Linked DNA regions of Oryctolagus cuniculus. The protein of the gene in region 1 binds, or shares a complex with, the protein of each later gene. Links are inferred from orthologs where the notes say so. Each region holds a gene or a part of one and is shown in the gene's direction. Other genes may lie near its edges.

Evidence for each region. Proteins that work in one complex are often made in the same cells at the same time.
Region 2: the proteins of TACR1 (region 1) and TAC1 are in contact, whole or in part, in a cryo-EM structure (PDB 7P02), measured with the Homo sapiens proteins. The link is inferred for Oryctolagus cuniculus from reciprocal best matches to the Homo sapiens genes TACR1 and TAC1. Residues at the interface, in NP_001049.1 of Homo sapiens: Gln24, Phe25, Asn85, Asn89, Tyr92, Ala93, Asn96, Trp98, His108, Asn109, Ile113, Gln165, Met174, Arg177, Val179, Cys180, Met181, Ile182, His197, Val200, Phe264, Phe267, Phe268, Tyr278, Leu279, Ile283, Gln284, Tyr287, Met291; in NP_003173.1 of Homo sapiens: Lys60, Pro61, Gln62, Gln63, Phe64, Phe65, Gly66, Leu67, Met68.

The regions. Positions count from the first base shown.
Region 1 is NC_091433.1:127,837,483-127,842,656, forward strand, and holds part of TACR1 (substance-P receptor), read left to right. Parts: intron 1-3,352; coding exon 3,353-3,503; intron 3,504-5,174. UniProt on the Homo sapiens protein: This is a receptor for the tachykinin neuropeptide substance P. It is probably associated with G proteins that activate a phosphatidylinositol-calcium second messenger system.
Region 2 is NC_091447.1:38,673,628-38,679,311, reverse strand, and holds the start of TAC1 (protachykinin-1), read left to right. Parts: upstream 1-1,878; 5' UTR 1,879-2,036; intron 2,037-2,338; 5' UTR 2,339-2,347; coding exon 2,348-2,470; intron 2,471-3,359; coding exon 3,360-3,456; intron 3,457-3,868; coding exon 3,869-3,913; intron 3,914-4,382; coding exon 4,383-4,406; intron 4,407-5,684. UniProt on the Homo sapiens protein: Tachykinins are active peptides which excite neurons, evoke behavioral responses, are potent vasodilators and secretagogues, and contract (directly or indirectly) many smooth muscles.

The DNA.
Region 1 (5,174 bases):
GAATTTTAGCATTATTTTTTTCTAGATATGAGAAGAATGTTGGTATTTTGAATGGGAAAACACACTGAATCTATAAATTGCTTTCAGTAGTATGGACATTTTGAAGACGTTGATTCTTCCAATCCATGAACAAGGGAGATTTTTCCACTTTTTTATGTCTTCTATCTCTTTAATGTTTGGTAATTTTCATTGTAGAGATCTTTGACATCCTTGGTTATGTTTATTCCAAGATATTTAAATTTTTGGTAGCTAGTGTGAATGGGGTTGATCTTGGAAGATGCTTCTCAGCTGTGGCATTTTCTGTGAATACAAAGGCTATTGATTTTTGTGTGTTGATTTCATATCCTGCTACTTTACCAAACTCTTTTATGAGTTCCAATAGTCTCTTTGTGGAGTCTCTTGGGTTTCCTATATATAGAATCATGTCATCAGCAAATAGGGATAGTTTGACTTCTTCCTTCCCTATTTGTATCCTTTGAAAGCTGAATATAGATCTACCATATGACCCAGCCATCCAGTGGGAATTTATCCAAAGGAAATGAAATCAGCATATGAAAGAGTGATCTGTATCCCTATGTTCATCTCAGCACAATTTACAATAACTAAGATACGGCATCAACCCAGATGTCCATCAACTGAGGATTGGATAAAGAAATTATGGCATATATGCACTATGTAATACTACACAGAGGGTAAAAAATGAAATCATTTTATTTGAAAGAAAATGGATGTAACTGGAAACCATTATACTTAGTGAAGTAAGCCAGTCACAAAAAGACAAATACCATATGGTCTCTCTCTCTGATCTGTAGTAACTAAAAGAGTACCTAAAATGCAATCTATAGGAGTGAAACTGACACTTTAAGATGCGTTGATTTTGAACAGCCTTTGCCCTGACTGTCGAACTTTTTTTTCTTTTTTCTTCATACTAATTGGTGAACTCTCTACTTAGTGTAAGATTAATTTTATGAGTATAAAAACTATATGAAAAATCAATCTCTGTGAAAAATAAGAATGGTGAAGGAAGAGGGGGGAGAAAGAAGGGCAGGAGTATGGGTGGGAGGGAGGTAGAGGGGGAAGAATCCTCATGTTTCCAAATATATATATATATATATATATATATATATATTAAATGCATGAAGTTGCATTCCTTAAATAAAATATTTTTTAAAAAGAACACTGTTGGGGGGTGGCATTGTAGCATAGCAAGCTAAGCCTCTGCCTGAGATGCCATTATCCTATGTGGGCACCAGATCAAGTGCCCACCAGGTCAAGTGCCCACCAGTTGCTTCACTTACAATCTAGCTCCCTGCTAATGTGCCTGGAAAAACAGCAGAGGATGGCCCAAGTGATTGAGCCCCTAAACCCACATGGGAGACTGAGAAGAATCTCTGGGCTCCTAGCTTCAGCCTGGCCTGCCCTGGCTGTTGTGAACATTTGGGATATAAACCAGTGGATGGAAGATCTCTTTCTCACTCTATCCTCTTCTCTCCGTAAATCTTTCAAATAAATTTTTAAAATTAATATTAATTAAAGAAAAAAAGAACTCTTGGAGTATCTTCTAGTTGCAAATTTTAATAATCAGAGAAGGCTAAGTAAGTGGCAAACTATGGGCTTTCCAAGAAGTGATTGAATGTAAACAGCATATAGACAAGGGAGATATTTAGTGAATAAGTGGGCTTTCCTTATTGCGAGACAATCATCACAGAGAATAAGCATAGACTGCCAACATATGGAAGAAAACAATTTATGGATAAATTTTATCCAGTGAAAAGAAGCTGATGCTGGGGTCACAGACCTGTGTTCTAAGCCTATCTTCTCCCTTTATCAGCTGTGAATTTTAGCAAACTGACTAAATTCTAAGCTTCAGGTTCCTCATCTAGAAGATGGGATGATGATGGTGCCTACCCAGTAACTGAAGGAGTAAATTTTCAGTAAGATAATGCCAGTAAAATGCCTAACTTTGTGCTCTTGGCAAACACTCAACACAACTTAGCTACCATTTCTGTTACATATCTACCATTAATATTATTAGTAGCACAATAACCTAGAGTAAAGTTAGCTGTTCTCTTCATCACCATCATCATCATGGTAGGAATGCTGAGCCCCTTCATTACACTCACATCTGGATTAAGGGCTGTAACTAGACAAGCTAAAGATGCTCTGAGTGAAAAAAAAAATCTTTCTCAAAATTAAAAAAAAAAAAAAACTTATTTGGGTCTCCTACTTAGAAGGAGACTTGATGTAAACAGAGTAGGACATGTTTTGCCACTGGAATAAGCTCCAGGATCTGAGTGGTGTTATGCTGCAAAAGGTCTGTTTCCTGCTAGTGCTGCAGTCAAATGTGACTCTGCTGGCATCTTTCCTCCAAGTGGTGGCTCAGAGACCCAGGCACTTCCATCTGAAGATGTGTTCTCAAGGGCCATGCACAAGAATAGCTTCTACCCTGTGGCTTTCCTCCAGAGACTGTTCTAGGATCAGTCTTATCTCACTCCCCCCTCTCTAACTCTGATATCCAGGAATCCATCAACCATTGTCTAACTGGTCTACTTGTTTACATCCTTGCACTGAAATTGAGCATTAAGTGTTGTCCAGCAGACATAACTGAAGGCATACCTCCTTCATTTGAGAGCATGTACTTCTGCTAATGCCATCAAAATTTGCTATCTCTTTTATGTGGAGTGATACTGCACTAACACCAACTGAAATTGCCATAGATATACAATTTTTTTAAGATTTATTTTATTTATTTGAAATACACAGTTACAGAGAGAGGTAGAGCCAAAGAGAGAGAGGTCTTCCATCTGATGTTCCACTCCCCAAATGACCACAATGGCCGGAGCTGAGCTGATCCGAAGCCAGGAGCCAGGAGCTTCCTCTGGATCTCCCACACGGGTGCAGTGGCCCAAGGACTTGGGCCATTTTCCACTGCTTTTCCAGGCCAAAGCAGAGAGCTAGATTGGAAGTGGAGCAGCCGGGACTTGAACCGGCGCCCATATGGGATGCCGGCACTGTAGGCACAGTGTAACCCACTGTACCACAGTGCCAGTCCCCATAGATATACAATTAATATACAATTAATTCAGTTCCCCTCATCAGCTTCTCTTCTCTTTACAATCTGAACAGTAATCTCTACTATGGGAAAAGTCCACAAGAAAAACATAAATGGAAGAGATTTGCTTTCCCTATTTCACCCATTAGTCATTCATCCACCCTATGCAAACAGCATACCTCCTTGGGATGTCCTTACAGCCCAAGCTTATTAACAGCAAATGCTGAGAAAGGAACCCAGGCCGTCACCACCCACCTCTGTTGCTTCTTAGAGCAGCCCCTCCTATCCTCCTTGTTGCAGGTACCACATCTGTGTGACTGTGCTCATCTACTTCCTCCCCCTCCTGGTGATTGGCTACGCATACACCATAGTGGGCATCACACTGTGGGCCAGTGAGATCCCTGGGGACTCCTCTGACCGTTACCACGAGCAAGTCTCTGCCAAGCGCAAGGTGAGTAAGGGACAAAGAGCACCTAACCCACCGTGGCACAGGTGGGAGGTGTCAAGTGGGGTCTGCCTGCCAGCCCCAGAGACTCTGAACACCAAACATTCCTGGGTCTGGAGAACAGCTGAAATGCTGGGTCTTCGGTGTTCTTGGAGCCTGGGTCTGGTTATATAGGCATGAACCACTTCACTTGCTCCGTAAGAGTAATTGGGGGGTGGGGGGGAAGCTATTGTAATCCATAAGCTGTACTTTGGAAATTTATGTTCATAAAATAAAATAAAATAAAATAAAAAAAGAAAGAGAACTTGTACCTAATGGCAGTTTAAAAAAAAAAAAAAAAAAAGAGTAATTAGAACCTGACAGTCCACTAGAACACACACACAGTGGAGAGTTATTTGGTCCTCTTTTATTATTTATTTGAAATTTAACAAAAGAATTGACTCACATGGTTCAAACATCAAAAAGTACTAAATGGAACAAAAATTACAGTGATGGAGAACAGCTAAGAGGTTTTCCAGGGGTTAGTTCTGGGGGAGACATCTGCTTAAAAAGGGAGTAAGGGAGAGGGAGCAGCTTTGCATCCTGAGTGTGCTGAGATTTCATAGAACTGACTGCCAAACAGAAGCACACAGGTAAAAACTGGCAACCATCCAAATGCAGTCAGTGACTGAGTGAACAGCACCAAACCAATGCCAGTCTCCTGGTTTTGATAATGTAGAGTGGTTATATAACACGATCTCATTGAAGGGTACCTGGGAACTCCTTGTGTTTTTTCTGCAACTTCTTGAGGGTCTTAGATTAGCTCAAAATTAAAAGTTACAAACAGATTAAAAATCCTACCATGGAAGGCTCCTTTCCTTCTAGGTCCTCCATTTTACTCAATTCCCAAGCACACACATACATACACATACAGACAAACACACAATGGCGACCACTGTTGCTTCTTGTTAGTTCTAGATAAAAACATTTAAAAGCTAAAAAAATAGTATTATTTTCTTTTTTATATACATAGTAAATTTCTCCCTCTTATTTTTTTTCACTTCATAAAATCCACAAGATCTTTGAAAGGAAGTCTTTTTGTTGAAAATCTCTTTTTTTCCTTTTTGACATTTCCTTGCATATTATGTCATGCTACATGTATAGACAGCTGGTACTATGTAGGTCTTCACCTAAGATTTCTGGGTGCTAAAAATAAGAGTGTCGCATCACCCATCGTCCTATCCTATTTGGGCTGCTGCTAACACAATAGCTTTGGGAACTGTCAAACGACAGAAATGCATTCATCACAGCTTTGGAGGCTGGGAAGTCCAAGATCAAGGCCAGCAGATTCAGTGTCTGCTGAGATCTGGCTCCCTGGTTCATGGGTGGCTACTTCTTGCTTTGTCCTCACATGGTGGAAGGGGCAAGGGGCCTCTCCCAGGCCTCTTTCACAAGGGCACCAGTCCCATTTATGAAAGCTGTACTCTCAAGACTGAATCATCTCCCCAAAATCCCACCTTAATGCCATCACCTTGGGCCTTAGGATCTCAGCATAGAAGTTTGGGTGTGACAAAAACATTAAGGACATAGCTCCCAGTGTTTGTAAAATGTTTCTTTCCAATCCAGTTTAATCATACAATTTTGCTGCTGCCCAAATCTTTTACCTCCCCCAGATCCTCAGCCTCCAAGCTAACCAGC
Region 2 (5,684 bases), on another chromosome or scaffold:
TTTGTGTTTGTTTATTTGAAAGGCAGAGTTACAGAGAGGCAGAGGCAGAGAGAGGGAGAAGGGTCTTCCATCCACTGGTTCACTCCCCAAATGGCCATAATGGCTGGAGCTGAGCCAGGAGCCAGGAGCTTCTTCTGGGTCTCCCATGCGGGTACAAGGCCCAAGGACTTGGGCCATCTTCCAGTGCTCTCCCAGGCCATAGCAGAGAGCTGGATCAGAAGTGGAGAAGCTGGCTCTTGAACCAGCTCCCCATATGGGATGCCGGCACTGTAGGCGGCAGCTTTAACAGCTATGCCACAACGCTGTCCTCATCTTTTTATTTTTAGAATCCTTACCTTTTAGATAGATACACTAGAATGTTTGCAGATGAAATGATGAGATGTCTGGGATTTGCTTCAAAATAATCTGAGTGGAGGAGAAATAGGAAGTACTGTATTTGAACAAGCAAATTGCTTCAAATCAATGATCTGTTCTACTTTTGTATGTTTATAATTTGCCATTTAAAACGTTTTGAAAACTAAAACAGGAAATGCTCACACTGTGAGGCTAGGTCAAAAAAATTTGAGAGACACATGAAAATTTCAAAATTCACTGTCATTTAAGAACAAATATTGGAGGAAAAGTATTACTGGTATACTTAAGTTCCGAAAACTTATTTCCATCGTGCATTGTACTTAAAATTATAATTACCTGAAGTTTTTAATACTAAGTATAAAAGAGAAAACTATTCCACCCAAAATACAATGTCATTCAGTTTTGATAAAGATGCAAGAAACGAGTCTCCAGCAGCATTGTGGCCCAGTGGGGCTAAGCGGCTGCTTGGAACGTCAGATCCCATAGTGGAGCCCAGGTCCAAGCCCCAGCAGCTCCACTTCCAATCCAGCTCCCAGGGAAGACGGCAGAAGACAGCCAAAGTGCTTGGGCCCCTGCACCCACATGGGAGACCCAGATGGAGCTCCTGGCTCCCGGCTTCTGGCCTAGCCCAGGCCGGATCGTAGAGGCCAAATGGGGAGTGAACCAGCCCACAGAACTTTTTCTCTATCTCCCCCCAACACACACATACACGCACGCACACACACACACACACACACACCTGTAATTCTGCTCTTCAGGTAAAGGAAATGTGTCTTCAAGGCAAGCGTGCACTCCCGGGAAGCTGTGATCTCCAGCAGGCGCTGACCTTAGTTTCCTAACAATTCTGTGCTGTGGACGACTGCACGGCTGCCGGTCCGCGTGCTCACTGCACCGACTTTGATGCACAGGCGAAGTCCCCGCGGATGCCTTGGGTGACACCAGCTAAGAGTGCCGGGCACGTGCAAGACAGGGTGGGAGAGAAGCAAAAACGCCCTCCTGTGCAGGGCGAGGAGGATTTGGGGGACAGGAGCCACCTCGGGGCGCCTCTGGGTGCAGTTTCCCTAAAGCGTATAATAAATCCTCTTCCCTCCCCGGAAGCGCTATGAGCCTGAGACACCCCTTTCTCAACGCTGGGGAAGTGTGAGTGCTGCCGGGGATTTAGGAGAGGTGAAGGCGGGAAGGCCCACGGAAGCGCCCCCTCCGTGGCCCGCTGGCCCTCGACCCGGTCCTGCTGCCCACAGGTACCCGGTCGGCTGGCTTCAAAACTATCACTTCTCCAAAGTCGGCCCAGTCCAAGGAATGAGTCACTTTGCTGGAGGTTGATGAGTAATCTCAGGTGTCAAGGCGAGGGGAGGGGGCGTCAGCTCCGCAGACGGATGCGGAAGCCTCGACTTGCCTAACACTGCGTCACTGCGGGCCCAGTGGGGTCCAGATGTGATGGGCACCGACGGGTTGCCGTCTCGGAAACTCTCAATCACGCCGGCAGAGAAGGAAGAGGCGGCTAATTAAATATTGAGCAGAAAGTCGTGGGGAGGGGGGGCGGGTCACGTGGGTCCGGAGGCTCCGCGAGCCGGGGATAAAAACCGCGCGGCTCCGAGCGGGCCACAGCGCGCGCTCACCTCCTCCCGCACCGCGCGGCGTGCGCTCCGAGCAGCCCAGGGACCCGCGGGCCTGCCGTCGCCGTAAGTGCCCGCGCTGGGCCACAGCGCAGCCATCCCGCGTGGCCGGGGTGGGAGACTGACCCTCTTCTTTGTCCCGCGGGAAGGGAAGTGCGATTTGGTGGTTGGGGGCTGGGGGAGCCTGGGACTGCTGGGATTTGGGGAGCAGAGGCCCGGGACCCAGGCGCGCTTCTCATCCCGGTTCAACTCATCCCGGGTGCCGTCTGGGGGCCGAAAATGCCGCTGCCCCAACTCGCCGACAGCCGCTCCGATCAACGGGCTCCTCCACCCCACCTCCCGTCCCCTTCTCTCCCACTGCTCCCCAGAAAGCCAACATGAAAATCCTCGTGGCCCTGGCAGTCCTGGCTCTCGTCTCCACCCAACTGTCTGCGGAAGACATCCGAGCCAACGATGATCTAAATTATTGGTCCGACTGGTCCGACAGCGACCAGATCAAGGTGAGCCCGGGTCCGGGAACAGCCCGCGCCGCTCCTCCGGGGCTGGGACCCCACGAAGTCTGCGGGTCCGCCCGGCCGCGGCCACAGCAGTGCGGGCGCGCAGTGCTGGGAAGTGGCTCCACCACCCTACCCCACCCCACCCCCTCGCTCCCGCCCTGGTTCTGCACCCAGGACCCAACTTTTCTCCCTGGGGCTGCAGCGCAGGGTCTGGGATCTCTCCGAGAGAGTCCAGTCCGCCCCTACGAGCCCCGGGTTGCCAGAAGGCTGGAAACCTCGCAAGGTTTCATCCCCGAGCGACGCTGCTCACGCAGGTGCAGTCTCCCGCCCTGTCCGCGCGCTGGGAAACACACGGGGTCCCCGGGGACAGGAGCGCTCAGCGGGGGCTCACTGGTCGTTGCGAGTTCATTTTGCGGACCTGCGAGTTTCGCTTTAGGTGGCTCTCGTACGTGTTGGCGCCAGGGAGCCTGCGGTGCGGGTTGCGGGGAAAGCACCCCCTCCCCCCACCCCTGCAAACACACACACACCTGTGTGTGTTCGGGGCAGCAAGAGGTCGCTGGAGCCCGCACCAGGGAGAGACAAAGTCACGGCGGAGGGCTGGAGGGGCTCGGGGGAGGGCGGCTCTGCAGATGAGCAGGGTCCGTGGAAGCAGAGGGGAGAGCAGGGCTCCGGGCCTGAGGACACGGCGCGGGGCTGGAGTGGTGCGGGAGTGGCAGACCGCGCCCGACGTGGGGCAGACCCCCCTCCCCCCTGGGCAGAGCTGGCTTCCCCGCCCGGGCCTTGGCTCGCTGGGGCTCGCCCAGGGCCGGGGCGCGCTTTGGGAATGGCACGGGCCACCCCGCACCTGGCTCCGTGGCCCACACGCCCGTGTGTCCGCGCGTCTGTCTTCCAGGAGGAGCTGCCCGAGCCCTTCGAGCACCTGCTGCAGAGAATCGCCCGGAGACCCAAGCCTCAGCAGTTCTTTGGATTAATGGGCAAACGGGATGCTGGTGAGATGGGCAACCCTCCCTGCCTGCTCGCTCGTGTCTTGCTCCATGAGTAGATAAGTCCATCCTAAGAGCGGTGGGACTCGGGACCTCTCTAAGGCGCTGTGCACACTTGCCTGCAGAGGGAGGGCTTCGCCGGCATTCGAGTGCACAAAACCGCCAAATCCAGGACCCAGCCTTAGCTCAGCGCGCCCCTTACTAAGGATACCAATTAGCAAGGGAGGGGCGGGCGGGGGCGTTCTTGGGGAGGCGTCCGCAGGGTCGTGGTGCACGTGGAAGCTGACCACCCCCCCCCCCCCCCCCGGGTTAGGCGAGACCTGGCTGTGCCGAGGCTCCAGATGGAAACACAGTTTCCCTGGGTTGATGGCGACATCAGTGGGACGTAAATAGTTAATGCCAACTCCTCTCTTGTCAGATTCCTCAATTGAAAAACAAGTGGCCCTGTTAAAGGCTCTTTATGGTAAACACTCTATCAATCTTTGACTATCGTGAATTCTCATTAGAAAAGTGAAGGAAATCTTGTAGGGCTTGAACGCAGTATCCTGGTTATGCTGTTTGGTAAAGAGATGGGTCTGTCTGTCTCTCTCTCTCTCTCTCGCACACGGGTGGGGTGTCAGGCCTTGAAGATGAGAGGTGGCACAGCTTGACAGTTAATGCCAGACCTCAGGTGTCCCAGCATCTTGGGTGTGAAGCCTTGGTCTAGAGAAAGCCCTCGGTGATGGTTCTTTGGGCTGTAAACTAGTTTGCTTTTTATTATGAATAATCTGGTTAGCCTTTATGGTCCCGCTATATTTCTCAGGGTGGGACAGGAGTGGAATATGTTGCATATTTTGAAAATCGATGTATTTTAGCAGCCTCTTTAAGAGATGTGATAGAGCTCTGCACAGATCTTGCACGTGTTGGTTAACTGTTACCTTTCTTCCTGCCAGGACACGGCCAGATTTCTCACAAAAGTAAGTTCAAGATTATTTTGGCATTTCTCAAGTGCAAATGTTAACAAGACTGAATACCACTTTATGCAATAGCTGACCTTAATTTCAGTCTTAACATAGACTTAATATGTCAATGGAGACTATATAAGAGTGGATGAGACTCCTATTATATAGAATATGATTGCGTCAAGCTCTGTTTCTTAAAAATATGGCTCTTACCAAAAAGATACTTGATGTTTTAAAAAGGAAAGGAAGCTGTCCTTTAGCCCCTGTAAATTGTTAGTTTTTGGTAAGAGGTCAAATCACAGGATTGTGACCCACCTCACACAGTCCTCTCCAGCCTCCCCTAGTACCCAAATCCAAGTATTTATGGGCTCCTTCTCACTCACCTTAATATGCTGGGTCTCCTAGAAGATCATGTTTTGAGGTCATCCAGCAGGCAATTGAGTGAATGAGGGAGTGAATAGCTAAGTAGAATCCATGTAAAGATAATGATGGACATGAAGATCTTTGGTTCCATAATGCAGCGGGAAGCTTTCGCCAGCCAACACACAGGGAGCATTTGTTGGGGTGGAGAAGATGTCAGAGTTATGCACTTGAGGGTCCTTAGATTTTAGTATCCCGGTGACTGGAGCCAAATTGACAGGAAGTCCCAGGGTCCGCGTTAATCACACAGTACATCTATGTGCCTTGTCTTAAATTGGGCTGCCTGGATGGCAAAGTAGATCGCATTAAACTAACAGCCCTAGTCCCAAGGATACTGCAAAAATCAAGAGAAATTCTCCCACTAGAATTAAAATAATAAATCTTTTCCAAAGATTTTTATCTTTGAAAATAAATAAATGCTATACATATTTACTTTCTAAGGACTTGTCTATCAAGAGAATTATATATAATGAAGTTCTATGTGAGAGAAATAAATGTACTCTATTAAAGTCAAAACAAATTCACTCTTCCAACAAGAATAGACTATTTTTAAAGATCTAATAAAATAGAGATAGTTAATCATCAAGGGCTCGAATCTGACTTAACTAAGACTCGCTTTCTGAGAAATAATACATTTAGTCTCACGAGGAAACAAGCTTAGTTATCTGTCTCCCATACAAACCTGAAACTGACTCCCTGAAAGTCAGAGCTAGCTCAGATTCTATCAGTATTGCAAATGATAGATCAAATATCACATAAATAAAGAGTACTTGCTAATTTTAGATACAGAATTGAGAAAAATTCTTTCATGGTGTTGCCTTAGGGTAATTTGTAAGATTTACAAGGAATTTTCATTGCTTTAGGCTCACTAAA